7 linked regions of the Oryzias latipes genome follow. The protein of the gene in region 1 interacts with the protein of each later gene in a pairwise test. Links are inferred from orthologs where the notes say so. Each region holds a gene or a part of one and is shown in the gene's direction. Other genes may lie near its edges. The genes, in order: disc1, ppp5c, arih2, fryl, exoc7, utrn and srgap3.

Region 1 (4,080 bases):
ATAAAACCATTGATAAAAAAAATCTGTCATGTGGAACAGGCCTGTTTTATTCCGTTTTAGTCATGTGATCATTTGTTTTCAGTGGAGCGTACCATCTGTTATGCATGAAACACATTTCACACAAAGTTAGGGTAAAGATGAACAACGTCTTCCTTGTCAGGCGGCATGTCTGTTGACATTTTGGGTCCATGGCCTGGAATCTCCCCAGATCGTAATCCCGTTGAGAACTTGTGGTCAATCCTCAAGAGGCGGGTGGACGAACAGAAAGCCACTAATTCTGACCGACTCCAAGAAGTGATTCTGAAAGAACGGGCTGCTATCAGTCAGGATTTGGGCCAGAAGTTGATTGACAGCATGCCCAGTGGGAGTACAGAGGTCCTGAAAAGAAGGGCCAAGACTGCAAATACTGACTCTTTGCATAAATGTCATGGAATTGTCCATAAAAGCCTTTGAAATGTATGAAGTGCTTGGAATTCTATTAACTCTGAGAAAACTAAAATTTGTGTCCATGACTGTAGACTAAATAGAACAATGCCGACTGACATTCTGAAAAAAATATGTAAGGAGATTTGTGGGGTAAAATTAGAATTTATCAATAGGTCAAAATGTTTCCACCGGAAGAAAAAGAAGGTGTAAACAAAATATTAAAGGTGGGAGTGATGTTGTTTGCCTGTTACCTGCCCCCGCCGCCCCCTATTACCCCCTTTGACCCACCCTCACTGGCTGAACGGTTGCTGTACGCCCCTCAATCTCCCCCTTTTGCCTCCACCACCCTGGTCAGAGCTGCATGGGACAAATTCGCGTTTTCTTTCAAAATGGCGGCTTATCTGTTAGTTTTATCTCCGTAGCAACCATTTACGTTTTTGGTCGCCTAGGGTTGACAAACAGGTCTGTGTAATATTTTTTGAAGTATCAGCAAAAGTACTTTTTCGGATTTCCTTGGCAACTGAAGTTTTTGGTTAACCACGCCCACATTCCTCATATATTCGTAAGGTATTAAATATTGTTTCGTTCAGCTTTAGCCAATGACCATTTGTCTAAAATCTTTAGAATATTTCGGTAAAAAATATGCGATCAACAGGGGAACGCCAAATTTGTGACCTCGCCACGCTAACACAAACTTTAAAACCAACATTTTTTCCCCCGTGAAGCTTCCCGATGACGCTCAAGGAGTTGGGAGGTGATGGCTGCTTGTTTGTTCCAGCTTCTTGAAGAAATTTGCTATTACTTGACTGAAATGCTTTTTTCTTACTGTCTTTTATTAAACTCTCCTTTCATTGCAGATCCAGCGTTTCCCGCCCGTGAGCTCACTCTTCATCTTCCTCCTGTCGCGGAGCTTAACGCCTAATCTCTGTATCAACAGGTGGCAGAGCGTTGGCGACAGCTGGCAGCTCTGGGCGAAAGAGGCATCACCGAAAGCCAGGCTACATGAGAGGAGAGCAGTCCAGGCTGCTGAGCTCTGCAGGTACCGAGGAGGAAGAGGAGGAGGAGGAGGAGGAGGAGGAAGAGGCGATAAGCGGCTGCTTTGGGAATGGAAACTGTGGATGCAGCACCGCCGTCACCCATGGCCCTCCAGCTCAAAGACTGAGTCCAGCTCCTGCTTTAATGGTTAATAAACCAACGGGTTTGAGGAGTGAGGGCGTCCTCGGCCCGGCTGCAGACATCCATCCTGCTCCAGCAACATCCAACCATCTGGGTCTGACCTCAGAGCCTCATGATGAGCTCAGCTTAAGGCTGAGGCCGGCTCCCCAGACCTCAGCAGAAGACTCTTTCACGTCCAGTTTCAGTTTCATTCAGCAATCGCTCAGCTCCAGTCAGAGGACCGGTTCTTCAGCTGCACCACTACAGGAACCAGAACCACCTACCAAAGCCCCCGAAGGACCACAACCCAAACCTGACTCCCAGCAGAACTTCTTAAAGCTCTCGCTTCCTGTCCACTCTTCACCCGGCCACGCACAGAAGGAGGACCTGCCGTCAGGAGGGAGGCTCTGGCGGGAAAGTCAGTGTTACGGTAAAGAGGAGACCTCCCACCTTCTGGACTGCGAGCCCCGTCCTCTGGACGTGGAGGTCACCTCCTCGCTGTCGGTGGATTCAGACACGGCCTCAGCCTCCTCTTTCACCTCCGGTTACGAGAGCGCCACAGCGGGCTTGGAGTCGGGCTGGGACGGCGTGGTGAAGAAGTACGAGGGCGTGCTGCAGGCCTGCCTCCGAAACAACCGCGCCTACACAAAGGTGGGCATAGCGGATCCTCTTGAGGGGGGCAGAGACTTCAAACACATTCACTTTAAAGTGCTGTCATTGCTGAGGGAGAACTCATGTTCTGTAGACTGTTTCAGATCATTAAATCAAATAAATCATGGCGCTAAAGTGCGCTAAAGAGAAAAAGCAATTACATTTAAAGCCGCGAGTGGTGTAGTATGGTTTAGCCCTCCCTCATTGGCTGAGTGGCTGCTACAAGCCCCTCCCTCTCCTTTCATGCCTCTGCCAGCCTAGTCAAACTTGCATGTGAGAAGAAGAAAAAAGCACTTTTTTTCAAAAATGGCGGCTTTTCTATTTGTTTCATCTCCATAGCAACCATTTAGTTATTTGATCGTCCGGGGGGGAGGAACAGGTCGATGTGCATTTTAGAAGGATCGCTAAAAGTAAATTTTTGGGTTTCCTTGGCAACAGAGGTATTTTGTTAGCCACGCCCACATTCCTGATATGTTTGTATCGTATGTCATATAGTTTTGTTCAGCTCAGCGAAAACTTTTCTTCAAAGATGCAGTAAATAGGAAAAATTGCAGAAACAATCTGGTCCTTCAGTCCAGAACGGCTGTGGGACGCAGATAGTTAAAGTTTTGAATCTTTCGGTCCGTGATGGCTCAGGTCAGATGGATGTGAAGGTCATGACAACATTTAGAAACAACCACCTTAAATATCTTGTTCAAAGCTAAGCCCGACAGGAAATGGAATGATGAGCAACAAAGGTCATGGTCTGGCTTTCAAAATAAAACACAAACGTTTATAAAATTAAAGGTTTGGACCATTTGTCATTAATTAAACACATTTAAGTTATTTTCAAAATCTGTGTTAAAAACTGGAAGAAAGTTAAAAAAAAAATCACACTTTTGATTTAAAAAAAAAGAGAATGGAGCAGAGCATAAAGTTATGTTCATAAGTTAAAATCTCCAAAAGCAGCAGAACTTTCTGACAGAATGACGGTCATTGTACTTGTCCCGTTCCCTGTGGGCGGCGTCCTGTGGGCTGATGTCTCCGTCTCTTCTCTCCGCCTCAGATCGAGTCCATGATGTTGAAGCTGCAGAGGCTCCAGCAGAAAGCCGTTCTGGACGACGACTACGACGCAGGTGAACGCCAAACACAACGTTTTAACCCTCTGAATCAAGCGTTTTATGAGGAACGTTTTGCTTGCATGCCATTATTTCACCATTGCGTGTGTTTATAGATTTTCCCATTAAAGTTGTCGGAGTGGAAGGAAGTGTTTGCAGAGCGATTATGACAGAAATCCCAGCTGTCAAAGGACCGTCAAGATTCAAACATTCATCTGTTTAACACTCGTGATCTTTGGGCTCTACTGCGTTATTTAACAACATGGCACAATCCAAACATGTTACATATGATAAAAGACCTGCAGCTAAAAACGGTTTTTGAACCAACCTCACTGAGGCTTGCAGGCGTTTGTTTGAACGGGTCGTCTGAGGCCACGTGTCACTCCGGGTCAGGTCAGGACTGTGACTGGGTCAGAGCAACACTTTGATCCGGAGCGCTGTCATGATCCACTTCCAGCCAAACATCAGTCTCTAAATGGTTTTTGTTTACAATAAAATGGAGGGGTCATGTGGTTTGCCCATGTTATAAAACTTCCTCCACTGTGCTTAATAACACTTTATGTCAGGGGTTTTCCTAAAATGAAGTTTTGGATTTTTCTAAATGTTTATGTGGATTATGACCAAATGTCTCTGCACCTTTAAAAACCCACATTTATCTAAATTCTCTTCAAGATAAAAGCCTTTGGCTGTAAATTTCAAAGCGTGGTTCTGTGGCTGGACAGAACCTGCTGGAACCAGCCGGCTGTCTTGA
Region 2 (4,080 bases), on another chromosome or scaffold:
ATTGTTTAATGATTTAACTTTAAAAACCAGAGATATTTGACATTTATTGTCAGCTATTATGGACAGAATTAAATGTTTAAAAATAAAAAAACAGGCTTTGATATTTACGGTGAATAAAAATTTCTGAAACAAAGATAATAGACGAGGCGTTCTTTGTCATGTTTTGTTGTTTTTAAGCTCCGAGTTATAATCGGTGATACAAGCCGAGGACATTTTTATTGTCTCATCAAAAAACTGAAAGTCATGTGATGTGCTCTTATTTTGAAATCTTTCCCCAATGATGACAATCCTCATGTTGTAGCAGATGACTGACTTTTGTGTACTGTTTATTGTTGTGGTCTGTATTTAAAAGAGTCACTTTGTGACTTTTAGAAAAGAAATCTCTAAATAATGACACGTTTTTCACGTCTTTTATTTTTTAATTCAGTTCCTGAGGCAGATGTTATCAAACCCTCATGAAATTTAAAACATTTGCTGGTAGTGAACATTAAACAGTGAAGTCAAAGTTTTGTTTATGAGTTAACTGTGTGGTGAAGAAGCTTTGGTTGAACTACTGGCGCTTGTGAAATTGAGTGTTTTTGTTCTATTCTTGTGTTTTTGTGGTTTTGGGGTGTCACCGGCTAATTTTATTTCTAAAATAAATGTAAACAACTTTAAAAGGAAAAAACCAAAAACTTTAAAACAAAATATATTTAGATTCAAGCAGCTCAACGACTGAAAACCTCAGACCACCGTCAGTCTATGTTGGAGGGGAAAGATTTCCTTTTTTTAAGGTTAAAGTTCCTAATTAGCTCAAATATTTAGATGTTTTTTTGTTTCAAATATTCAAGTAAAACAGGAATTCCTCCTTTAAATTAACTAAACATTTATGTTTGTTCTGCACAGAATTATGGAGGAAAATAATATTGGAGGATTTGTGTGTTTTTCCAGAGAAAGATTATGAAAATGCCATCAAGTTCTACTCAGAGGCTTTGGAGCTCAATCCGTCCAACGCCATCTACTACAGCAACCGCAGCCTGGCCTACCTGCGCACCGAGTGCTATGGCTACGCCCTGGCGGACGCTACCAAGGCCCTGGAGGTGGACAAGAACTACATTAAAGGCTACTACCGCCGCGCCACCTCCAACATGGCTCTGGGGAAGTTCAAAGCTGCTCTGAAGGACTATGAGACGGTCAGTGACGGATGCTGCAGGTTTATCACTCTCTACCCTGATCCTCTTTAGTGTGAGAGGATGAAGGTTTAATAAAACAAAGCTGTTGAATTGCATAAACTGTATACTATATGATTTCTGATGATAGGCTTTTTTCATAGAGCGCCAATTTTGCACTTTAATTCAGTTTAGGTTCAGATTATCGATCAGGGCAAGAAGATGCATCATAGTTTCTGTTTGGTTTTTAGGATCTTGACCCGTTGTGTGTATTTATCTTTAACACAGAAAATATTTGCTGGGGTAAAGTTTTTGAATTTAGCTTTGCTGTAAGAAAATTCCTAATTTTCACAAGTTTTCATGAATCTAAAGGAAATTTCTACAAATCAGAAACTTTTTGGTTTTATTTTATCTGGATTCATCTTCTGTATCAATTTGTTACTAAATTGGAGAAACCACCCGCAGAGCGTTGAAAGGGGGGGGGGGGTTGTTTATATAAATATATATGAATAAATACAAGAATAAAATCGTAATTTTTTAAAAGGTAGTAATTTCACGGACAAAAACTCAACTTTTTCAAAAAGAAAGCTCGCTAAATCAACAAAAAAATGAAAGCAGATACATCCAAATTCTTGAGCAGTTTCATGTCCGCCTGATTTCTCCTAATGTTCCTTTGTCTTTGAAATATTTTCAAAGCTAAATGAGACATTTTATGATTTAAGGAGCGGGACTTTTTCCTTGTAAATTTACAACTTTTAGAAGCATAAAGTTATGACTTAATTCTCATCAAATGTTGAATTCATTTTCAAACGGCTTTATTCTCATAACATAAAGATTTTGTTGTTATTATATTTTTAAAATAACTGAATGCCTTTAATATTACTACCTTCTAAGTTTGCAACAAGTTTTTTGGTCATAACTTTTGTCATAATTATACAACTTTATTCTCAAAATATTTTGAATACTTTCTCATAATTTAACGGCTATTTTTGTGTTTTTGTTAGTTTGTCTTCTTGAATTGTGTCTCCAATTAGTTTGTCGTACATTGTAGAGTCTGGGTTTCAGTGTGGCGGTCAGAGCGACGGCGCTGACCGAGGCGAAACTTGACATTCGTCATAGACAGATTTGATGGAGAGAATCCGCTAGTGTTTCAAAATAAAACTTCCTGTAGAATAAGTGTAGTTGTAGAGTTGGAGTTCTGGCATTGCCTGTCTGTCCAGGGGGAGGCTTCGTCGTTTTTTCCCAGAATCCGTTTTTCCTTACCGCCAAGAAGGGTCTAAAGGCAGCGATGTCCAGTTTTAGTTTAGTTAGTTCAGTTTCTATTAAATTGTGTGTGTTCATGATCCTTTTAAATTTGATGTTACCCTACATTTATCTAAAGCCTATCGAGACGACTGTTGTTGTAGTTTTGGGCTATACAAATAAAGTTGAATTGAATTGAACAAGATAGGTAAAACCCAAAAAGTTGTTCTGTTTTTTACCTCCCCTGGTACCAATTGACCCACGGGGCGGCTCCAGGGTGGGGGGTGGGGGTTAGAGGGCAGCACTGCTCTAGAATCGAGCAACATTTTACTCACTCGAGTTCAATCAAACGGCGTTTAGGCTGAGCGTCTCCCCCTCAGACTCACAACAAGCTCTCTTTAGTGTTGATTTATTTATTTACCGCTAATCGTTTAGCACATAATGGGTTTATTTTATTTTTTTATTAGTATTATTTTATCTTTTATTTGTTTTATTTTTAATGTTCGGTTTAGCAAACCAAACAAAACCATTTTTCTGTTGTTGTTATTATAAAATGTTTGAAATGAATGAACTAAGAATGCAGGACAAAAACAAAACCAGCTACCAAACCAGAGGGTGACGACATCCCATGAGCAACATGGGATGAGTTCATTCATATATTTAACAATAGAACCAGAATAGAAAGCGCTTCCACTGGTATTTATTTTAATGAAATTTTGTTGTACAGATCTGCTGATCTAAACTGGTGCTTCATTGATTCATGAATGCTGTGAAGTCGCTTCAACTATATATTTTTTTACGCAGCTGCAGTTGTTTCTCCTTCAAACCCGGCGGAGAGACGTCAGAAACGCTCCATCCGGACAACGTGTTCTCATATTTTCCCGCCGTCTCTGCTTTGTGGCGACAGGTCGTGAGGGTTCGACCGAACGACAAGGACGCCAAGATGAAGTACCAGGAGTGCAACAAGATCGTGAAGCAGAAAGCCTTCGAGCGAGCCATCGCCAGCGACGAGACGAAAAAGTCTGTGGTGGACTCTCTGGACATCGAGAGCATGAGTACGTTTCCCGTTCCGAGGCCAGACTAACGCGACGAGGAGCCGGGGCAGGAAGATGACGTGACTTTGTGTTGCAGCCATCGAGGACGACTATGCCGGCCCCAAACTTGAGGATGGAAAGGTGACGGTCAGCTTCATGACGGACATGATGGAGTGGTTCAAAGAGCAGAAGAAGCTGCACAGGAAGTGTGCGTACCAGGTAGGAGCGGTCGGCCCTCAGGCCCCCCGCCGGCTCAGCGTTCCTTCACATCTGTTTGCAGTCTTTCTCCTCCTCTTCTTCAGATTTTGGTGCAGGTTAAAGACGTTCTGTCGAAGTTACCCAGTCTGGTTGAAATCACGTTAAAGGAGGTGAGGAGGACGTCCCTGATTGGTTGGTCAACGGCATCAAAGTTCTCTAAAGGTGTTTGTTTTTCCTTACCTCCTGTTTCCTCGTAGACAGATAAGTTAACTATTTGTGGGGACACCCACGGCCAGTACTACGACCTCCTCAACATTTTCAAGCTGAACGGCTTACCGTCAGACGCCAACCCTTACGTATCCTTCCGTCACGGCGGCACGTCGTGCCCCAGAGTCGTCAAACGCAGAACTCGTGCGTCATTTTCCTTGACTGCGGCGTTCAGCTGTTCAACGGGGACT
Region 3 (4,818 bases), on another chromosome or scaffold:
ACCAAAAACGAACTAGAGAGAAGTTCTTTAAATTTTATTCCCATAATAGAGAAAATCTGAAAACGTTTTAACTTATGGCTTCAAAGAGACCTGAGCCTAAAAGGCAGAGTCCTGCTGTCAAAGGCAGAGGGAATCTCTCGACTCACCTACTCTGCATTATCTCTGTACGTAGACAATCAAACATTAAAATCTGTTGACCAAATTTTATTTAACTTTATCTGGAAAAGCCGTATACATTATTTAAAAAAATCTGTGGTAATGAACTCGTACGAGAATGGAGGACTAAACTTTCTTGATTTTACAACCCTAAATAACACATTTAAAATAAACTGGATCAAATCCTACCTAAAAAATCCTACTTCAATTTGGAATATATTTCCAGATTTTATATTTTCAAACTTAGGCAACCTTAACTTTCTTCTCCTTTGTCATTACAATGTTGAGAAAATACCAGCTAAACTATCAGCATTCCACAAACAAGCTCTTCTTGCATGGGCACTTCTATACAAACACAATTTCTCCCCCCATAACTTCTTTATTTGGAACAACAAATATTTATTATACAAGAATAAATCTTTATATTTTCCACATTGGGTTGAGAAAAAAATTCTACTGGTGAGCCAAATTTTTGACACGAACGGGCATTTATTAAGGTTTACTGAATTCAACACTAAATATAATCTGGTTGTGACTCCTAAAGAGTATGCCATTGTGTTTGATGCTGTTTCCAAAGAAATATGCCAAATGTTTAAAACAACTGCTACGAACGAAGAAATGCCCTCTATGGATGCAACTGCCACCACCACAGGAAAAATTTGTTTTACCCCTACACACAAGAATAACAACAAAAAAATACGTGTGTTGTTTCAAAGGGATGTCATTTCTGTACCGTGTACTAAAACCTACTGGAGACGTTTTGTTCCCGACAGCATCTGGAAGAAAGGATGGAGTGTCACCCAAAAATTTATGATAAATAATAAAATGAAAGAAGTTTCTTTTAAAATAATTCACAAAATTTACCGCACCAATCAATTTATGCTAAATACATTAAAACAATTGACCCTAACTGTACTTTTTGCAAAGAATATCCAGAAACAATTAACCAACTTTTTTGGAATTGTACTATAATTAGAATCTTTTGGAAAAAATGTTTACAATTTATTAGAAATCGCATTCACCCCAACTTTAATCTAAAGTTTGAACATATAATTTTTGGCCTTCATAATAAAAATTTGGACTCAAATAAAAAACTCATAATTAATCTTATTATTATTTTTGGCAAATTTTATATACATAAATGTAAATTTTCTTCATCTTCTATTTTTTTCCCTGTTTTAATCAAACAAATTGAAATGTATATCAGTAACATCTCCAAGAGTCTTAATCAGAAAGCTGTATGTCTATATGAAAGTTGCAGAAACCTGAATGTTTTTATGTAAAATGTATTTAATATGTATGCTCCCCTGGCATATTTGAATTTTATTTTGTAAAATTGTGTTTTGTATTGTACTTCTGTTTTACACAATAAAGTTTTTAAAAAATGCTTAGAAATAAATTAAAAAAAAAGAGAATCGGGCAATTTTTCAAATGAAAATATCTTTCAGATTCCGAAATATAACCGAAGTAATATAAGTTATTTTATTTTTCTGTGAGGTTGAGCCCTAAAGAACAGAAAACAGGAAAGCACTGCAGATGTCAGCAACCAAATTATGGTTACTGCTGATGGGCTCCTTCAGGAGGAAGAGGAGGAGGAGGCTGGGGCGGACATGACGTCACTGATAAGCACCTCCAACAGTCTATCTTCCGCTAAACAGGCAAGCACACAGGTGAACATCGCTCTCCAGATTTCCCCTCATGAAAAGTCCTTCATAGTGGTCACAGAAAGTCCGCGCAGCTGTGCTCCAGCAGGTAAACATCGTGAACTTGAAACGCTGGAAACGCAGACGGCAGCCCTTTAAATGTGTGTGTTCACTCCCGGGCTGCTAAGGGCCTTGTTTACATCTCTGTCCCCGGACTAGAGTAATGAGAGGCGGAGGCTTAGCAAGAGTGGGTGATGAGGCTTTGCAGATTCTTGACCACTTCAGCTTATTTGTAGGGGAGAAAACCTTTTCTTATCTGTAATTGCGACTTGCAAAACATTCTGGTTGTAATTATGTGTTTGGTGTAATAATAGCTACTTATGTGCTTGACATACTTGCTATCTCGTTAGCCTGGAAGCTAATCCGGCTAGCGAGGGAGTTTCGCTCATTTATGGTGAAGTGTCGGAATAAATGCTCTCCGCTTGCAGGCTTTCAAACTCCTTGAATCCCATTCCGAGACTTGTTTCAAAACACGTTATCTAACCCGAGTTGATTGTGTTCCATTTGCCTGGCAAGATGTGTGTCACCCAGTTAGTTGCCTATTTTTAACCTGGCTTCAGCGGAATGCACGTCTGTCGGACGGCTGGCAGGCTTTTCCGAAGTACAGAGTTTAATATTTGTAAATGTATCCCTCCGCTGGGATCGTGTGTCTTTATGTAGCTGACTTTGATTAAATCATTATATAAGAGCTTTTTGTTTTGTGCAATATAGTTCTGCTTTTATATCCTGACTTCCCAGTTTTACCACCAACAGATTTTAGTATTATCTGGAAATTTTGTTGGGGTTTGTAAAACTCACAACTGAAGATGAATTCCTGAGCTGCAAAGCTTTAGAGACCAAAATTAGTTTGTTTATAAATTGTGCTTCTTTAAGGTCAGATTGTGGCTAAACGAGGCGTGGAAAATCCACAACATCCGATGAGTGACATGTAAAAGTCAGTAACTTTTTACAAGACAAATGCAATAAAAAAGCTTGAGTAATCCATCAGCTGTTTGCTATTACAACACAGTCCCAAAGCTATCGTGTGTCTTTAGTTTTGTAATATTCTTCTGTTTGTGCGTTTATTCCTCACAGCCGCAGTCACATCACTTCCAGACTCCATGTGGTTTTTGTTATTCTGCATTTTAAGATTGAAACCACAGTTACAAAATGTTTGATTTGAATTTAGTTTTCCACAGATATTTTAATTTCCCTGATTAATGGCCTGTGTTTACATGTTGCATCAACAAATCATTTTAAATCCACATTTTTGTTTTTTTGTTGTTGATGTAGGCTAAAACCCCACTACAGCCAACCCTTTAAAGTATTCCCAGTTGTCTTTGCTGTTTTTATCCAAAATTGAATTCAATTCAGTTTTATTTATATAGCCCAATATTATAACACAGTTGTCTCAACGGGCTTCACTAATTCATGAAAGTTCATTAAACATTTGCCTCTGTGTTGTGGGTGGAATTGTTGGCATGGAGCCACTTCCCACCCTAGCTTACAGCCGCATGGATCTATTTGTCTGCAATGATTTCATCAGAATGGAGCGGATCGGGGAGCTTGTGGCCAGTTGACTCCAGCTCCTATGTCACTGCTTCATGCATTTTTGTCGACTGACTATGATTCACAACTATTTAAATGAAGCAATTTTTATCCTCTATCATGAGAAAAATGCCTCAGCTCCATTTTCATCTGAGTGGGTCTTTACCTTTGAAGGGTATTGCACGCTTTGGTGCTGAAGCTGACATTACAGCAGTAGTTTTAACAGCAAACAGGAAGGAAAAAAGGAAGAACAACAGAGGAAAGTGGAAGTTTCCTTATGGTGTGAGCTTCTAGTCTAAAAACTCTTAGATTATCAAACAAAAATAAAACCCAGTTTAAACTATTTTTCAGTTTAACAAACAATGTGGGAATTTTTTCTTTTGCTTCAGTTGTTTTTTTTTTTTTTTTTTTTGTCCCGATGAACTCAGGGCTTTTTAAAAATGTCCCTCTCGTCTCTGTTTTCCCTTTGTCTTTCCAGGTTCCCTTCTTTTGCAGACGGAGCAGTAATCTGTGGCCCAAATGAGTGACGGAGAGTGTGACTTTTTCTGCTTTTTCCGTTGCTGCTGAGCGCGCTCCATATGCGCCTCAGGCAGACAGGAAGGCAGGGTGTCCCCTAACAGTGGCACCAGGTGGACAAGTTGCTGGAAGAAAGCAGGGGGGAGGGGGTGGAGCTCCACAACCATTTAGGCTACACCTGAACTAGGTGGATCTGGCAGGTAGGCAAGTCGTCTACCTGTCTGGGTGGTTGATTGAATCGACTGGATGTCCGTGGACATGAACAGCCAGGCTTCAGACAGCAACGAAGAGGACTTCGGGGTGAACTCTGAAGAGGAGGATGAGGATGATGGAGTGGATGAAGAAGTTGACATACCAGGTTATTATGAAGGCGTGGCCAGTGATGTGGAGCAACAGAGCGCGGATTCCTTCGACCCAGAGGAGTATCAGTTTACTTGTCTGACGTATAAAGAGAGTCAGAGGGTGCTGATGGAGGAAGTGAACAATGTCGCTGCCGCACTGAAGGTGGGTGGGGCATGTTTTGTTGTGTTTCTATGGAAAAAAGCAGAGGTTGTTTTTGGGTGAAGATGCTTTTTTGTTATTCTTCCCTAAAACGTAACATTTTTCTGGCTCTGTAATCAGGTTTTTTCAGTACAGACTTTTCTTTTTCCTGCGCTGAGCCTGATTTTACGTGGGGGTGTGGCTTTGAGCCTGTTGGCTACCGGGACGTGTTTGACATTTAGTGACAGAGGTTTTGCTGACTCCTGTGTCATCCCTCCTCTCATCTACCAATCTTTAGGGGGCATTAGCACTACAATTGGCCACAGATGATGTACTGGGGCAGAAATTACGTCACCATAACCTCTGTCTCATGATGTCAATCATGTCCTGTCACCAGTGGACTCAACGGCCCACCGCCAAATCTAAAAGACCCCAA
Region 4 (4,080 bases), on another chromosome or scaffold:
TGCTTCAGAGCAATCGCTCACGTCTTTCACAACAGGTGCTTCGCTTTTCCGCTTGACTGTTTTCTTTGTAGGTCATCCACCTGTAAAGCGCGATATTTGAACAGCATGTCGCTTTTCTTTCAGGGATTACCAGTTTGACACTGTGGTGCTGCTGAACCTGATTCTTTTTAAGGCAGCAGATTCTTCCAGAGAAATCTATGAGGTGGCCATGCAGCTGCTGCAGGTCAGTGCAAATGCCATCTGCACACTGGGAAAGGCTGCCTGGCCTTGGCTCACTGAAAATGTGTCAAACTTGACAGATCCTGGAGCCAAAGCTCTTCCGTTATGCCCACAAACTGGAGATCCAGCGGATGGACAGCATCCTGACGCCACCATCGCCTTTGCCTCACCTCTACTCTGTGTCGTACTACCAGCTGTCTGAGGAGCTTGCAAGGACTTACCCAGAGCTCACTCTGCCCATCTTCTCAGGTGTGCTGAGACGCATGGCTCTGCATGCGTCCAACTGTCTGTTGAGTTTCTACCACTCAGCCAGACAGCATTGTTCTGCGCTGTTGTTGTAATCTTTTTAAAAAAAGTGTAAAACCCTGCTTTTGCTTCAGAGGTGAGCCAGCGGATCCAGACGGCACATCCCGGGGGTCGACAGGTGATGTTACACTATCTCCTACCGTGGATGAACAATGTGGAGCTGGTTGACTTAAAACCGGCACGGCGGGCTGAGGAAGTCAGCAGTGCAGAGGAGGAGGAGGAGGAGCAGGACGTTGTGATGGTCAACAGTCGCCGGTGGCTCCGAGGAGAGGGCTGGGGGTCTCCTCGTGCAACCACCATGGTGCTGAACAATCTTATGTTTATGACCGCAAAGGTAAGCGCATCCAGAAGACAAACAACTCACACATTCATCTTAATCACGGTTAATAGTTACAGACGAACCCGTTTTTTTAAATATTTTTTTATCGATTGCATGACAGCGCTACAGTTATTATTATCCTTTGCCACAACCTAATTTTGCTGTTTCACAGATGATTTTAATGTAAATTTGCTAGCTTTTTTTTTTTTTAAACAGCTTATTGTGTTGTGCGTCCTGATTGGATGTAGACCTCCTACACATCCAGATAAATAGTTGATCATGAGCAGATTTTTGGTTTCATTCTAATATGGCTGTAACGACTGTCCAAAGAGCCAAATATTATCAATCTGTTCCCAAAAAATTCAGTGTGAATATTTGTAATGTCCAAAAACGCAGATTCACGATCTTTCCAAATACAGTATAGTAAACACACATCAGCAATGTAATTATCACTGTAAAATTCCAGATTAATGTTGGATTTTAAGTATAAACTAATCAAACAAGCTTTACTGACACCAAAGCTAAGAAATCTTCAGAGTAAAATGTCAGAAAAGGTTCCCTTTTTTCAAAGAAAGTATTTCTCATAGATGAAAAAATGGAGCCAAAATAACCAGTTCAGTATCGGCCCGTCGGATTGAAAAAATACTGATCCCGATATACGTCAAAATACCAAATATTGGTCCAATTATCATCCTTGACTGATAATCGGTGGACTCCTAGTTTCAATACTGGACTAATTTTTCTACAAAGTTTGAACTTTGAGAGTTTAAACGAGAAAAAACTATGAAAATGTTTGTCTAAGAAAACATCTGTAATTGTAATAAATCCAGATGACCGCTTTGTGGATTGGACCTATTGCTGGTTATTTTTCAATCTTCACTTTATTGTGACTGACTGATCTCAGAATATTTGTTTTGTTATCATAGTACGGAGATGAGTTTGCCTGGTCGGAAATCGAGAACGTTTGGACTACTTTAGCAGACAGCTGGCCAAAGAACCTCCGAATCATTCTGCAGTTTCTCATCAGCATGTGTGGAGTCAGCAGTGACCCCAGCCTTTTGCCCTATGTAAGTGACTGCCACCCCATGCCCCCCGCCCCTGCCCTGTGCCCTGGGATGCCCTCCTCATTCACTGCCTGTGTTTCCAGGTGAAACGTGTGGTGGTTTACCTGGGCAGAGATAAGACTATGCAGCTGTTGGAGGAGTTGATGTGTGAGCTGGAGATGACCGATCCTGTCAGCTCAGCCATCACACACATGGACAACCCTCCTTATTACCGCATCACTTCCAGTTACAAGATTCCCTCCGTCACCTCAGGTTCGCAGAACTTACTGGTGCTGTGCAGAAACATGCGTGTTCCCAGCAACAATACCTTAGATTCTGTGCATGTTCTCACAGGAACAACATCCAGCAGCAATACCATGGTTCCAGGAAATGAAGGGCAGCATGACGGCAAGCTGAAAGACCCCAACATGGAAGAAAGGTTCAACCGGACTCTTTTCTTTTTCTTCTTCTTATGATCGTAGAAAATGAAATGAACAGCAGCAGTCATCACTGTGTTCATATTTTTTCATAAATAACAATAATTGGCATCAATGGAACTAAAAGCTCTTCTTGCCATTAAACAGACTTTTATAGAGATATTTTACTACAACTTTTGAAATCTTTCTTCAAATTAAAACAGATTATTTTTAAAACAACAACAAATGGAACCAAACATGACCACATGTCTCATCTAATAAATCGTCATGCTGAAATGAGTCAAATCTGTCTTTTAGAATCTAATATTGTTGAAAATGACTTTTTCCCTACTTAAAAAGTCCAACTCTGATCATCTTCTGATCTATTGTAAAAGTCTTCACTGTGGTCGATTCATTAAGATAAAAAAAACCTGTGTTGTTATCTAGGACGTAGATTCTGCTGAGCGGCAGCATTAGAAATTCATCCCCGAGTTGTAGACGGGACTGTTGACGTGGAATAACCCCCCCTCACACACTCCCCGTGCCGTAGCAGAGCATATTTTCTATATGACAAATGAGCTCTTTTTCTAACAGCATCTTTATGTCGGCTCCTGATTCACAGTGATTTGAGTAAGGAAACATTCAGAAATGCAGCTGAAAGCTTAATTTTCTTTATATATGTCTTCCATCACCAGAAAATGCCAAAAGAACATGTTAAACACCCTTTTCATCAGAGTGGGCCTTTAACAAAGTGAAACTCTAGATTTAAAGGTGTTTCGTTTTAGGGTGTGTGGTAATTATAAATCAAACTCGTTCGCTCCACAGTTACACTCACCTAGACATCTACAGTGGTCTGAACAGTAACCCCAACCGCCAGCATCACCGTTTGGAGTCTCGTTACAGCAGCAGCTCTGGGGGCTCCTATGAAGACGAGAAAAGTAAGCCCAAACTCTTCCTGACTCTACGGCAAACACTTACTTAGCATCTCTGCTAAATTCCGTCTTTTATTTTTTAGGCGACTCGATGCCACTTTATGCAAATTGGCGGTTGAAAGTGATGGAGCACAACCAGCCAGAGGCTCTCCCCTTCCCGCCTTCAGGTGGCTGCTGGTCTCCACTGGTGGACTATTTGCCAGAGGCAAACACTCCTGCTGTGCCACTGCACAGGTACGCTGAATGTCTGTTCCCTGTTTTCTTGGTTGTGAGCTGTGCTGTTAAACATACAAACTGTTTGCAGGTGTAACATTGCAGTCATCCTGCTGACGGACCTCATAGTGGACCATGGGGTCAAAGTAGAGTGGAGTGCCTACCTGCACCTTCTGTTGCATGCTGTATTTATAGGTAAGCGGTCTTTACAGTACTTGCCTGAATTAATTAGTCATTTATATAGTGCACAGGCTTGTTTTCTGATCAAATATCAACTCTCATTTTTTCAGGGTTTGATCACCATCACCCAGAGGTCTACAAGCACTGCAAACGCCTGCTTCTTCACCTGCTGGTTGTCCAGGCAGCAAGCAACAGCATGCAGTCTGTTGCTATGGTGCTGTTAGGCAACAGAGACTGCAATGATCCAAAGGTCCTGACTGTGAAGCCAGCACCTCGAGAGTTAAAGCTCACAGGTACTTTCTGCTTTCAGCTCTCTGCGTGGACAAGTGGAGGAAAGACGAGCATCCTCCAGATGTTAGTGCTGTAGTTTCAGAGTTGGTCACTGGGTGGTAGCAAGTGTTCTCACAATAATGACAGTCTTGTCATTTGGGGAAAATGCTTGTTGAAAAAAG
Region 5 (4,831 bases), on another chromosome or scaffold:
CAGGGCTCTGGGAAGCAGCAAGTGTCCAACTCAGATTCTCGAATCTTTTGGCTTGGACTGATAATTTGCCCAATCATCTGGGTCCTATTTGCCTTTAGCACACTGTTTTCCTTCAAGATTAAATGGATGGTAAGACTTTGTTTCTTGTTCATTTTTGTATTCAGTCCAATAATAAAGCTGCTGTTCTCCTGTCTGTCACTCAGCCGGTGGTGATCATGGCTGTGGTGTTGCAAGGGGCCAACCTTTACGGGTACGTGCGGTGCAGAGTAGGAGGGAAGACCAACCTGAAGAACATGGCCACCAACTATTTTGGTCGACAGTTCCTGAAGCAGGTGAACTCATTTCTGGGGGAAATGCAAATGTCAGCGAGTCTGTTCCTTCTGTTTGTGTCTAAAATCTGTTTTCTCCTCAGACGCTGTCGAAAGAAGAGGAGTCGTAGGCTTCAGCTCTGCGACGAAGAACCCATACATCACACCTAATGCTGTGATCTATTCTTTTACCAAAAGGACACGTAGAAACATGTTTTAGTCCAGCCGTAGACGGGTTAGAACATGTGGCTGACTAAAGCCGTTGTCTGTGTTTTCCCAGCAATATACAGCTTCAAACCATCGCTACAGGTGGGACATGTTAATGGTACAACTTTACATTAGCATGTAGTGTATCGAGCCTTTTTGTTTGTCTCATGTTTTTAGTTCTAGTCACTTCAGGACAGCTGGAAGGCTTTGAGGATGGTTGTAAAACATGTTTCCTTTGCAGAACTTACTCCAAAGTATTCCAAGTCATTTGTAAATATGTAAGTAAGGATGCCGTATAAAGCCTTTTTGTGCAAATACATTTGTAACATTTTCCTGAAAGTGTGAGCTCTTATTAAAAATAAATCAATAAAAGTCAGTATTGGAGACGCTGCAGAATCCACTGAAGGAGCAGTGACTGCAGTTAGTCTGGAAGCATGAAGCCTCAAACTCCATCCCACTTCCAGAGTCAAAGTTAGGATCTGAGTTTCAAATCAGAGGATCTTTCTCAGTCTCTGGGTGGATTTTCTTTTTGTAGATGAGTTTTTTTTCCCAGTGTTATTGAAGTTGCTATCAGTCAGATTGTCGGGAAAATTAAACTGTGTTCAAAAATAGCACTCCTGAATGTTTTAACAATTCCTCAAGACATAAAGTACACAGTGATGCATAAAACAAGTAGATTAGTTCATGGAAACCTTTTTATCAAGCTGGCCTTTTAAGAGTTTTATGATTTACCAGATTATTTATCGCCGAATTCGTCTTTTATTATGATTACGCGTCTGTACTTTCCTCTAATTTTAGAAGTGCAACAGCGACGTCAAGCGGCCGGACTGCGCCATTGGTCAGGCCGTGACAATGTATGCCACATTATATAGAATTTTTGAAATGTAGTAGTTATTATGGGGAAATGTTAATAGTAGTGTTACTAATAACGCTTGAACGTCTGTTATCCTAAAAGCGGTGCGGGATTGAAGAAACGTTCCGCTTTGGACATACTCGGATGTGAATGAGAGGAACACACCGGAAATATGAACGAACTGGCCTTCACATTAAAAGCATTTATCCGATAAATTACACTAAATATATTTATTCAAATCACGCTAAAGTATATTATAGTTAAAAACTATATTATACAGCTTTTCTTCAAATCTGTATGTATTCGGGTCTGTTTGTTTGCTCTTCGATGCGAATCGGGTACATTATTTTGAAAAATCAAACCAGAAGTGACCATCCGGTTAGACGCACCCTCCTGTCTCCAGCTGAAAACATCAGAGGAGTTCAATGGTGGTGGTTTATATTCCGAGTTAAACGGGACGGTTAACTGCAGTAAGTCCGCTGGAGGCCTGAGCTCTGACGGGAATCAGCTCCAGGATGATTCCCATCGAGGATGCGTCCGCCAGGAAGCGGGAGATCGAGGAAAAACTGAAGCAGGTCGGTGAAGCGGAAGGAGCCTCTTCCCGCAGAACACTATTCCCTTTTATGTCCCCTTTCCTGAATGTCAACGTTAACCACTTTCATGTGCATTTTAGTCAAATGTAGTGACGAGTGGGCTGCCGGGTATCGGCTATGTTACAGGAACAAGAAACGCTGTCGTTCATCCGAGAAAACCTGGAGAAGAGCGACCAGCTGACCAAAGGGATGGTACGGCGGCTCCATGTCACGTGACTTTCTTCTCAACAGAGTCTATGCAGCTGCTTCGATGGGAAATAAGTGGTTTTATTCCGGCTCCTGATTCTTTAGAGAAGCTTCCACTAAAGAAGGACCAGTATGCCCTTCACTATGGGTTACTGTGATCTGAAAACAAAGGCGCGAGCTCAACGGCTCTTTCAAAATAAAAGTGCCGTCTTCCTGCCAAGAAGAAATAAATACATACTGAATTGCTTTGAATTTGATGAAACAGTTTAAACATTGATTTATCTGTCAATCTGTCATTCTAAAAAATGATATAGTTTGGAAAGCAGCATTTAGTTTTAGTAATTAAAAAACAAGAATGATGCAAAAAGATCTAAATAGTTTTTATGATTTACAAATGGGGTTCTTTTAAGTTTAAAGTTAAGATGGTTTTGATTTTGATTAATCAGATGTCTTAACGGAATCCATAAACAAGATCTGAGGCGTTATACTAGATTTTTGATTCTCATCTCAGAGGTGCCTTTAACTACCGTCGACGTCCTCCGGGAATCAACCTGCTGATCACCTTTTGTGCCTTGAAAGGTCTCCATCCTGTCTTCGTTCGAGAGCCGCTTGATGCAGCTGGAGAACTCCATCATCCCGGTGCACAAACAGACCGAGAATCTGCAGCGGCTGCAGGAGAACGTGGACAAGACTCTGTCCTGCATGGACCATGTCATCAGTTACTACCACGTGGCTAAAGACACCGACAGGATCATCCGTGAGGGGTGAGCAGCACCCCCTCCTGAAGTAAAGTCAAAGAAATGAGCCGGCTGTGAAAACGTGCATGCTCTGTCGCAGACCTGCCGGCAGACTGGACGAGTACCTCGCCTGCATCGCAAAGATTCAGAAAGCAGTGGAGTACTTTCAGGACAACAACCCCGACAGCCCTGAACTTAACACAGTGGTACAGTATCAGCCTTTGTCTGTACATGTATGACTCTAAAAAAAGAAGAATAAATGAACCAAGATTGCATTTTGAGACTGAGTGAGATTCAAGTAACTCTCCAAAACGTTGATGGTCTGCAGAAAGCGCGCTTTGAAAAGGGCAAAGAGCTGCTGGAGGCGGAGTTCCGCGGCCTCCTGACGCGCTACAGTAAGCCCGTTCCCCCCATCCTCATCCTGGACACCATCAGCGTGGACGAAGAGCTGGAGGTGCAGGAGGAGGTGGTGCTGGAACACCTCCCTGAGGCGGTGCTCCAGGACATCATCTGCATCACCGGGTGGCTGGTGGAGTTTGGACGTAACCAGGGTAACCAGGACGTAACCAACCTCACAGGCTTTCTTTTTCCAGACTTCTGTTGAACAGTTTTCACTGCAGTTGGAGGTCAAGGTCACAGATGTGTTAGGATTCTTTCCTCAGAGTTCAAAATGAGTTTGAACTGGCTGTTGTTTTGTGTTAAGTGTGACGCTGTGATGCCTGGCTCATGCTAGTTTAGCTAATCGATGCACATATGTGTCCCAGTACAGTAGTGAGGCCTTTGGATCTTCTACATAGGCAACCATGTGATCAACCAAAGCCCAAGTATAATGTTAAAAGTGATCAAACACGTGAGAGTTCAACAGAGGAGGAGATTTTTTAAGAGGCAGATTGTAAACTCTTCTTTTGTTTTTGTCTTCCTCAGATTTTATGAACGTCTACTTCCAGATCAGGTCCAACCAGCTGGATCGGTCCATCAAAGGCCTGAAAGAGCATTTCCGGAAGAACAGCGCCTCCTCTGGGGTCCTCTACTCGCCCGCTGTCCAAACCAAACGCAAGGACACGCCCACCAAAAAGGTTCCCAAGAGACCAGGTCAGCAACTCACAGTTTTCTTCTGCCATCCTCCGCCTGCAGTCACATAACCGCACGACCGAGTTTTGGGGCCGGTTTACAAACCTGTTTTTTTTTAATTTAAATTTATATATATATATACTTACGAGACAAAAAAGTAATAAAGTAACGAGACAAAACACGAAAGTTCTCTGCTTATTGGAGCCGTGCATGAAGATGACAGATGTGGAGCATTTTGTGAAGCTTTATTTCCGGCTAAGTTTAAAAAAAACAGAGAAATTCTGAACATTTTGGCGACATTGAAGTTGGACAGCTGCAGGGACACCGACGTCTTCATCAACGTCTGCAGATATCCTGCAAGGCCCCCCATCAATGGATTAAACATGAATTAATCGTAAATCAAACAAATGGAACATAATCAATAAACATCCGCTTTGCTGCTGCGTGACGTTCACTTGCTGCACTGAATGCTCACTTCCACTTTAATCTCGTAAATTTACGACTTTGAATCTCGTTATTTTCCTTTTTTTTTTTTTTTGTGGCCCTAGAACTCCGTCGTATAACAGAGACGTGAAATACATGTGAAAATGTGGCGTCTGTCAGGCGTTTGCGCCTTTTCTGCACGTGGCGCTGAATTCCATCCAGCCGCCTCGATATAGCCGTTTGCTCCTTAACTGTCCTCTCTAACCATCCTCTCCTCTTTCCTCGTTTCCTGTGCTGTGATGACAGTCTACATCCCAGGTAAATACAAAGCTTTCACTGTTGTGCTCTGAGCTCATGTCCAGTGGTTGCTGTGGTTACCAGAGTCGTCCCTGAAGCAGCACATCTTCATTTGTGCTGAGGATGAAGATGGCAGATGTGGAGCATCTTCATGCT
Region 6 (4,080 bases), on another chromosome or scaffold:
GTTACCACAAGAGACTTGCAGAGAGAAACAGTATTCATTTGTTTTGATATAAAAACAAAGATAAACATGTTTCCAACCAGGTTAATAACCAGTTATAGAGATTCTAAAATGCTAGAAATCTCATTATCCTTATTTATTGAGCATTAAACTTGCAAATAAAAAGGGGCATAGTCTTTTAATAACAGATAGCCTTCCAACTTTATTTGTGAAAGGTTATCTCAAGTTTGGCTCTTGGTTTAAGTGAATCCTTGCTTTAGGTGAAAAACTTTTCAGTGGCCACATAGCAGAAGCGATTAACGGATGTAACCTTGGGTTAAAAAGCATTGTGCGTGAAAACACTAAAAGCCGGAACAAAATGTAATCTTTTCACATGATGTGGTTAGGTGGCCATGGTGTTTACCATTATGTGATAACAAGAGGAGACATAGTTTCTGCAGAGGGGCAGTTCATTAGAAATTAACCTATGAGTTGTGGGCGGGACGATTGGTGCAGAGTAAGCCTGCTCCTTCTTTCCAACATCCATCTGCTTTTGTTTCACGCTAGCTTACAGCCCTTCATGACCCCAACCTAACGTTGACGGTGCAACAAAAATGGCGAACAATATCAGACCTATCCAGCTCTGCAGTTTTGAGCCAGATGTCAGCTCATACGAGGAAAACCAGGACGTACATGGATCTATTTGTGGATACATCAGAATGGAGTGGAGCAGGGAGCTTGTGGCTTGACGTAGTAGTTTCTACGTCACACGTACAAGCTCTATCCAATGGCATTTATGTGTGTGCTCCTCATTCGATTAAAGAAATACTCAGAAATGCAATTTTAAGATCAATTTTCTTTATATATATCCTCCATAATCTGAATAATGCCAGCAAGACCATGTTTAAAACACAATTTTCATGGGAGTGGGTCTTTAATGATTTGACAGTTCTTTTTAATGCATAAAATGCATACAATGCAATTCCTTTAGAATTACCTTAAAATGTGAAAATTCACAGTCACAACAGACGAAACTTGGGCTTCTATTAACATAACAAAAATATTAAAACTGAGAGTCTTTAAAGAGGACAAAGTGTCCGTCTGACTCATTTCTTTTCGGTCCGCCAGGTGGATCTGGTAAACATAGGAGGCACAGATATCGTAGATGGGAACCACAAGTTGACGCTGGGCCTCATCTGGAGCATTATCCTTCACTGGCAGGTGAGCTCACTCACACAACATCTCATCACCATTGCTCCATTAACTCCCTGTGTACCGACAATGACAAAAAAAAAAAAAAAAAGCAGATGATGGAAAGTGCATGCTTGCATGCAAACATACTAATCATCATCTGTGTTGTCTGCCTGACATTTGGAACAGCTGTTGACACTCTGTGCTGGAGCTGCAGCTTTTCATTACCGTTTGTGTTGATTTCAGCTTATAGGACTAAAAAAAACTCAGTTGTCTGTAATAAAGTGTCCCTTTTTTTGTGTGTAGGTGAAAGACGTCATGAAAGACATCATGTCCAATTTGCAGCAGAACAACAGTGAAAAGATCCTGCTAAGCTGGGTGCGACAGTGCACACGCTCGTACCCTGAAGTCAATGTACTAAATTTCACAACAAGTTGGTCTGACGGCCTGGCATTTAATGGCATCCTGCACCACTTCAGGTGAGCAGAAATGTCCCAAACGCCTTCCGCCTGACTCATAAAACCTCTTTTTTTTCTGGGTTTTGTTTGCAACATTCTTTGCGTATGAGGTGGATTTTACCTGCACCTTGGCCGTGTACCCTTTGATTCGGATTTTAAATCACATCCTCAAACTGTAAAGAGTCCGACGGCTGCAGTAAAAAAAAAAAAAAAAAAAGCTCCATGAAGGAGAGGAGCTGCGGGTGTCGGGAGGTCTGGGTGTTTGTGCACATGTGCACACTGCTTGTCTTGTTCTGTTTAGGCGTGCTATGTCACTGTTTGCTCACGCTTTGTGAGTGCGCGCGCCTACACTGTTGAGCGTGAAAGAAAAGGCGTGGGGGTAAGGGATGCACCCCCCCTCCCTGTCTTTTTTATTTTACCCCCTTGTCTTTACTAGTGACACACACAGGCCTGTGAGCTGTGAGAACCGTACTGTTGGTTTAAACGTGGGCCCGGGCTTTGGGTGGATCACTGAACACACACATTCCTCACTCGATAGTTGCCGCTCCCGCCACATTTTCATCTGCAAAAACCTCAGAACAGCTGAAAATCTAGCTGCAAAAAAATAACAGTTTTTGGGTTTTTATTTATGAAATAAATCTTCAATACATGTAAGCATCCATGTATTTATCCATAGTTCCACAAATTGTTCTATTTCTCTCTTTTTATTCCATATATGTATATTACTTTATTTTTTTATTGTCCAAACAGCTGGAGAGCACCTGGATTTTCGTTATCACAAGCTTCTTGTGTAACAATGACATTAAAGGATTTCTGATTCTGATTTCATAGAGTATATTCGCATGGTTAGATTTTAATTTTTATTAAAATCATTTTTAAATTAAAAGCTTTTTTCCCCCTACCAAATTAAAAGCCTATATTTTTAAAATGAAAAAACCTTTGTTGATTTAATAAATGAGTATAACATCTTGTAAGTGAAGATGAGTGAAACCAAATAATTAGATTTCCTTTAATCCCAGCTCTATTCTGAAATGTTTCATCCCTTAACTGTGTTGAAACCACAGGCCAGAAGCCTTCAGCTGGGATCAGGTTGTCAGACTGAGCCCGATGGAAAGACTCGACCATGCTTTCACTGTAGCCAGAGATCAGCTGGGAATCGAACGGCTCCTGGATCCTGAAGGTACATTTGTCGCTTCCATCATTTGGCTTTTGCTTAGCTTGAAAGGTTATACTGCAGAGTTGTTGAAGGTTGCTTTTTATTTGACCAAGATTCCGACAAATGAAAGCAGCATGTCATGAAGTTTACTTTCATATGATGGCAGCAGCTGGATGAACTCAAAGGAGGGAACAGGTTAAAGAAGTGTTGGGCTCCAAACCTGCAGCCTTTTAGTTGTGTTAAATCAGTAATAAATGTTGCAAGTCGGGTCCTCACCCTTCCAATTTTATACCTCTCTTCATCCATCCACATCTTTTTTTTCCAGATGTGGCAGTGCAGCTACCAGACAAGAAGTCCATCATCATGTACGTGACGTCGCTTTTTGCTGTGCTGCCCAAAGATGTGAGCATGGATGCCATTAGAGAGGTGGAGACCTTACCCCGTAAATTTAAAACCGAAGACGCCGTTCCAGGGCTCAGTGTGCAGGTAACGGAAAACAAACCATGTGAGGATGTGGTGGAAGAGGCCTTTGGCCACATTAAACTGGGTTTCATCTGAGGGAGAATCACTCTGCCGTACACGCACAGTCTGGAAAAAAGTCGCACACAGCCACAGAGGCACGCTTTTATTTGGAATAAATGAATATCAACAAAAATACAAATAGTAAAAGATACAAGTCTGTTTTAAAAAAGACAAATCAAAAAATATATGAACCAAGAAATCAGTAACAAATTCCCAAAATAAGCCTTTTTTTGACACACAACTGCAGCTAACCTCTTCATGATTTTGATATTAATGCAAACCAATGTTTCAAAAATCGAAATTAACTGGAAAAAATACATAAGTGGGCAAGAACATTTAGTGAAGGGAATATTAAGCACAAATTCAGAGTACTTTTTTTTTAAAGTTATTTATCTCAATTAATCATAGATTATAATAATAATAATATTATTATATTATTCATAGATGGTTTGAATAAAACTTAACTGCTCTGTAAATCAATTTTACAGTTTGAAACTTGTAAAACACTTGATTGTTTATTTCTGCACACAGGTATGAAGTGCTTTAATATTGCTTTAATAAAATAAAATATTGCTATGCTTTATTTATACACAGTAAAATTTGCTTGTGTATCAAAGTGTTTATATTTAACTTTAAATTACTTATGTTTTTGTTTTCATGTAGAAATCGTGGTAATTTAGGATCCAAAGTGTTTTGACGGATATTTGCATCAATAGGCATCAAGGAGTTATTTCTTTAAATCTCGGCAGTTCTTTGAGCATATGTTTTAGCAAGCAA
Region 7 (4,080 bases), on another chromosome or scaffold:
AGGCCCAAGTCGTAGACAGCTGATGCCTCGAATCAGTCACCCAACTCCTGAATATTTATGTCCATTTCATTCCGCCTGAGGATTTATTTCATCGTCCGGACTTCAGGCTGTGCAGGCGATTCACGTGCAGTTGCCAAGCAGCCGTGCATGTGTGCATAAACGCTCACCTCAATGAGCAGCTGAGGACCTTGAAGGCCAGTTTATGCTCCTGCAAAGAGCAGAGCATATGGCGTCTCCAGGTGCCTCCCATGTTTAATTATTCAGGTGATCAATCACTGATGAGTTTCATTCGTTTGTTTATTTGCCTCAAAACACCATGTCTGTGTGTGTGCATGCATGCGTGGGTGTGGCCATGACAGCACGAACAAGATGAGACTGGAAAGTGCCACATGGTGTTTACATCTTGCTGCATGTATTAATAAAATCATAATGTCGTGCTCTGGCAGCAGGAAAGGTGTAGTTTATAGATTAATCAGCCTTGCCTTTTAAATGAAAGCTCATTAGTGTGTTCCTGGAGATGTTTTCTGTAGAATAATCAAAGTTGGAAGGGCTCGCCGTTCCTCACCTGCCAGCTGCAGACCTGGTCTCATCTGCCAACTGTTTTCTTCAGAACATTTATTTTCATTGATGTTACAAATATTGTAAAGACCTACCGGTAATGTTGGAATATTTTGGGGTTATTCTGTCTTTCTTTATGATCACAACCCTGTTCTGCTGAACTGCCCTGTTTTGGCTGACAAAGAGTCTTCATAAAGACACACATCTTTGAACGGTGGAACCAGGATGCCGTGTTCTGCATAGACTGTCTTTGTGCAGGTCTCTATGAAATATGTGCATTTGTTGATGGGAACCCACACAATTAAGAGAAGCTCAGTGAACCGCGTAGGCATTGTTCAGTCTCACCAGTGACAGACCCTTTCCCGCTCCCGTCTGCACATACTGCAGCTGCCAACCCCCAATTTTCTGCTCAGGGAGGAGGTCAGAAGCTGTTGGGGATCCTCTGCATCCCCGGAGGCTCCAGCGACAGCGGCGGCTCCGTGGCTTTGTCCGGTGACCGGTTTTTAGAACATCTCTATTCTGCTCTGCCTCAATTGGGATGTTGTCTGTCCTTATTCTCCTCAGTACAACCCGTCACCGACCAAAGCCGGGGGTGGGGGTGGGTGGGGGTGTTCTTGACATAAAGGCAAAATCAAATAAAAGCTCTTTTATGTTTATTCCGCAGGGGAAAGGGCTGAGTGTGGAACCACAAGGTAAATTCCTGATTACGCTTCTTTTTATCAAATTTGTCACAGATTTTCAAACTAATCAGGTTTGAAACAACTAAAAGGCAGAGCGCATTATTAAAAGCCCACAAATAAACCTACACTGTTCATGAATTATTTTGAATATCTTTTGTCTAATTCCTGTAGGTTTGTGTTGTCATTTAGCATTTGGATTGATTTTTGTGAAGTTTAAAATAAGCAGTGAAAGAAGTATCTATTTTTTGAAGTGTATTGTGTTCTTTTGAATACTTTTGTTGCCTTAAAGCTTTTCAGACTCAGATTTTTCCTGGTTACTGTAGAGCTGGGGGGCTCACACTTTATTGGCATGTGAGCTACTTTTGAAATGATTCGTTCCAAAACATCTTTGAAGCGGATTCAAAGTAATTCAGACATTTTTTTGGAATTACAGTTGTCATTTTTCCTTCTACATCTTGTTGAACTGGACCTGTGTGTTCGTAGTTGCCATGTCAACAATGTCACAGCACACAGTGTGCCGACAACAGGAACGATCCGTCTGCGTATGCATCGCGGTTGTTTTTTGAGTTGATTGACATGTGGCCAGTCGAGGAATGAGAAAGCACATTAGCAGCTACATCCATGGTGACGTGTATATATTTGCAATTTACCAGTCAATGTGATCAGTGTACTTGGTATTTATTTTTTTAACCTATTGTCGGTAATCTGAACCCCGTTGAGGGGGGGCCCCCTGGTTCAGATTACCGACAATAGTTCGGTTTGTTCACAATGAATTTTCAATTAAATGTTTTTACTTTCTTCATGTCTTGACCTTTGATGTACTGTTTAAATCATAAAATGTGTGTTTTGTTATAGTTTGTAGTATAACAGAAAAATTGTGTTTTTGTCCGCCTTTTCCATCGTCTACCCAGGCCCCCAACTCTCCCCCCTAAACCACAGAAAATGCGGAAACCTAGGCCGTGCTCCATGAATTACCATAAGCTGTTTAATGGCAATATGGAGACTTTCATCGAGGTACCCCCTAGTGGAGGTGTATGTCTCAGCAGCCCCCACAAAGCAGGCAGTTATGCCGTTTATAGCCTCTGCCCTCGTCCCGCTCCGTACTTGAGCTTTCCTCCCTCTTCCAGCTCATTTGGCTCTTGATATACCGCCACTTTTTAACCTCTAATCCCTCTGCTTGCTTTTTTTCTAATGGACGCAGCCTGAGAGGAAATCACCTGCCGTTAATTTCCCTGCTGAGTTGACTGTCTGGCTTTTTCTTCTAAATCCAAACAGTGTGGAGAAATGAGAGGGAAACGCAGCAATGTCTATACTCTTACAGTCCCTGTGCTCCGCCTGCGTTAACCTCCTGAAAAGTCGTTTTAACTTTTCTAACTGCAATTCTCTGCTTCCTCTGCCTTGCTTTGCCGTTCTCTGTCCCAGAGGGAGAAGGAATGCCCGTACTCGCATTCAGGTACTGCTGTTGCAGGGGAAAACTAAAACTAATTGTGCTTGAATGGAAGTAACCTACTTTATTTTTCACCGTTTTTCCCATTATCTTTCTTTGCAAAGTTTTAACCAAGCAATTGATGACAATAATTATTGCATCTGTTGATTTATTTTTTGAAATTCATATCTGTTTCCTTTTTTTTTTTTTTGGTTTGTAGGATTCTGGTCAACCAATTCCCCCGGTGGTTGAAAGCTGTGTCAGATATATTAACCTATATGGTGAGTTTCCCCTACTGCTTCTCTGCAAAAGGAGCAGAAAAGAAAGAGTCTATAAACGCCTTTAACCTCATAAGCAGTTGAGTTAGCTGGAGATCACCGTGGAACTCTCTCCTTCCACAAGTAGTTTTAGTAGGTTGCACAGAAAAAGTTCTGCTACATCCAGGCCAGTCCCCCCCAGCTTTTCACATACAGCTTCAGCTTGGTGACTTACCCTTTGGGGTCTTTTTTCTGGATCTACATGCAATGAAAACTGATTAGAATGCTGTAACTGAAACCACATGCTGCAGCCTCAATGAAGGGCCTTCGCCTGAAAGAAACTGCAACTCCCTCCACGATAAGACTGAATTTCCTGTTCCAAACTATGTTTTGGGGGATTTTTATGGGATTTAGATGACTACTGAAGCTCAGGATCAGGACATTGTGGCTCTTTTTCATCAGGATTGCAACAGCAAGGCATATTCCGCGTGCCAGGATCGCAGGTTGAGGTCAACGACATTAAAAACTCATTTGAGAGAGGCGAGTGTGCACAGACGCTGTTACATCACCAACACAACACTGCACATCCCTGTAGGCTTTCAACAATTACTAACAAATGTGTTTCTTCCTAATTAGGTGAAGATCCACTGATTGATGACCGAAATGAGCATGATATAAACTCAGTGGCGGGGGTGCTGAAGCTGTACTTCAGAGGGCTGGAGAATCCTCTCTTTCCAAAGGAGCGCTTCTTGGACTTTATCTCCACCATCAGTGAGTCTATTGAAAACTTTCAAAAGAGTTTTGCTTCTGGCGAGATACAGAAAGAACCAAAATAAAGCGCAAACTAGAATTTGTTTGGAAGTAGAAAGAGACGAGGAGCACCACCCCAGCTTGCTGTGTGCATTTTGTACTCATGGGCAAACGGTGTGTACTTTGTTTGTGTGCGTGCCTGCATGTGCAGGAGTATGGGTGACATCATTTGTCATTTTTTTCATTCTATTTTGAAAGCTGGTTTCTACAACAGAGTATTAGGACCACCGTCATAAATTGTTGTAAAATTATAAGAAAAAAGTCAAAATTTTATGTGAAGGAAATTGTAAATTCCTGATTGAAAAAGTCTGCAAGAAGAAAGTAATGCATTTTTAAAAGAAGTTTTATT

What was found.
Region 2: the proteins of disc1 (region 1) and ppp5c interact in a two-hybrid assay, tested with the Homo sapiens proteins (2 studies listed by BioGRID and IntAct). The link is inferred for Oryzias latipes from reciprocal best matches to the Homo sapiens genes DISC1 and PPP5C.
Region 3: the proteins of disc1 (region 1) and arih2 interact in a two-hybrid assay, tested with the Homo sapiens proteins (2 studies listed by BioGRID and IntAct). The link is inferred for Oryzias latipes from reciprocal best matches to the Homo sapiens genes DISC1 and ARIH2.
Region 4: the proteins of disc1 (region 1) and fryl interact in a two-hybrid assay, tested with the Homo sapiens proteins (2 studies listed by BioGRID and IntAct). The link is inferred for Oryzias latipes from reciprocal best matches to the Homo sapiens genes DISC1 and FRYL.
Region 5: the proteins of disc1 (region 1) and exoc7 interact in a two-hybrid assay, tested with the Homo sapiens proteins (2 studies listed by BioGRID and IntAct). The link is inferred for Oryzias latipes from reciprocal best matches to the Homo sapiens genes DISC1 and EXOC7.
Region 6: the proteins of disc1 (region 1) and utrn interact in a two-hybrid assay, tested with the Homo sapiens proteins (2 studies listed by BioGRID and IntAct). The link is inferred for Oryzias latipes from reciprocal best matches to the Homo sapiens genes DISC1 and UTRN.
Region 7: the proteins of disc1 (region 1) and srgap3 interact in a two-hybrid assay, tested with the Homo sapiens proteins (2 studies listed by BioGRID and IntAct). The link is inferred for Oryzias latipes from reciprocal best matches to the Homo sapiens genes DISC1 and SRGAP3.

The regions. Positions count from the first base shown.
Region 1 is NC_019873.2:28,417,958-28,422,037, forward strand, and holds part of disc1 (disrupted in schizophrenia 1 protein), read left to right. Parts: intron 1-1,363; coding exon 1,364-2,232; intron 2,233-3,277; coding exon 3,278-3,347; intron 3,348-4,080. UniProt on the Homo sapiens protein: Involved in the regulation of multiple aspects of embryonic and adult neurogenesis. Required for neural progenitor proliferation in the ventrical/subventrical zone during embryonic brain development and in the adult dentate gyrus of the hippocampus.
Region 2 is NC_019871.2:3,339,397-3,343,476, forward strand, and holds part of ppp5c (serine/threonine-protein phosphatase 5), read left to right. Parts: intron 1-930; coding exon 931-1,172; intron 1,173-3,297; coding exon 3,298-3,445; intron 3,446-3,521; coding exon 3,522-3,643; intron 3,644-3,726; coding exon 3,727-3,792; intron 3,793-3,879; coding exon 3,880-3,978; intron 3,979-4,064; coding exon 4,065-4,080. UniProt on the Homo sapiens protein: Serine/threonine-protein phosphatase that dephosphorylates a myriad of proteins involved in different signaling pathways including the kinases CSNK1E, ASK1/MAP3K5, PRKDC and RAF1, the nuclear receptors NR3C1, PPARG, ESR1 and ESR2, SMAD proteins and TAU/MAPT.
Region 3 is NC_019865.2:6,526,134-6,530,951, forward strand, and holds the start of arih2 (E3 ubiquitin-protein ligase ARIH2), read left to right. Parts: upstream 1-1,777; 5' UTR 1,778-1,908; intron 1,909-3,864; 5' UTR 3,865-4,148; coding exon 4,149-4,406; intron 4,407-4,818.
Region 4 is NC_019862.2:1,256,901-1,260,980, reverse strand, and holds part of fryl (protein furry homolog-like), read left to right. Parts: coding exon 1-35; intron 36-123; coding exon 124-223; intron 224-299; coding exon 300-468; intron 469-599; coding exon 600-859; intron 860-1,770; coding exon 1,771-1,911; intron 1,912-1,991; coding exon 1,992-2,160; intron 2,161-2,241; coding exon 2,242-2,326; intron 2,327-3,128; coding exon 3,129-3,241; intron 3,242-3,318; coding exon 3,319-3,469; intron 3,470-3,539; coding exon 3,540-3,643; intron 3,644-3,738; coding exon 3,739-3,921; intron 3,922-4,080. UniProt on the Homo sapiens protein: Plays a key role in maintaining the integrity of polarized cell extensions during morphogenesis, regulates the actin cytoskeleton and plays a key role in patterning sensory neuron dendritic fields by promoting avoidance between homologous dendrites as well as by limiting dendritic branching.
Region 5 is NC_019877.2:22,410,086-22,414,916, reverse strand, and holds the start of exoc7 (exocyst complex component 7), read left to right. Parts: upstream 1-1,732; 5' UTR 1,733-1,883; coding exon 1,884-1,943; intron 1,944-2,087; coding exon 2,088-2,153; intron 2,154-2,726; coding exon 2,727-2,911; intron 2,912-2,984; coding exon 2,985-3,090; intron 3,091-3,212; coding exon 3,213-3,435; intron 3,436-3,808; coding exon 3,809-3,976; intron 3,977-4,684; coding exon 4,685-4,696; intron 4,697-4,831. Other genes in the region: tvp23b (Golgi apparatus membrane protein TVP23 homolog B), read left to right, coding at 4-129, 204-332, 413-439. UniProt on the Homo sapiens protein: Component of the exocyst complex involved in the docking of exocytic vesicles with fusion sites on the plasma membrane.
Region 6 is NC_019882.2:8,831,362-8,835,441, reverse strand, and holds part of utrn (utrophin), read left to right. Parts: intron 1-1,104; coding exon 1,105-1,197; intron 1,198-1,473; coding exon 1,474-1,646; intron 1,647-2,689; coding exon 2,690-2,805; intron 2,806-3,106; coding exon 3,107-3,267; intron 3,268-4,080.
Region 7 is NC_019863.2:2,730,573-2,734,652, forward strand, and holds part of srgap3 (SLIT-ROBO Rho GTPase-activating protein 3), read left to right. Parts: intron 1-1,222; coding exon 1,223-1,250; intron 1,251-2,149; coding exon 2,150-2,252; intron 2,253-2,660; coding exon of another isoform or gene 2,661-2,691; intron 2,692-2,884; coding exon 2,885-2,945; intron 2,946-3,383; coding exon 3,384-3,461; intron 3,462-3,557; coding exon 3,558-3,692; intron 3,693-4,080. UniProt on the Homo sapiens protein: GTPase-activating protein for RAC1 and perhaps Cdc42, but not for RhoA small GTPase. May attenuate RAC1 signaling in neurons.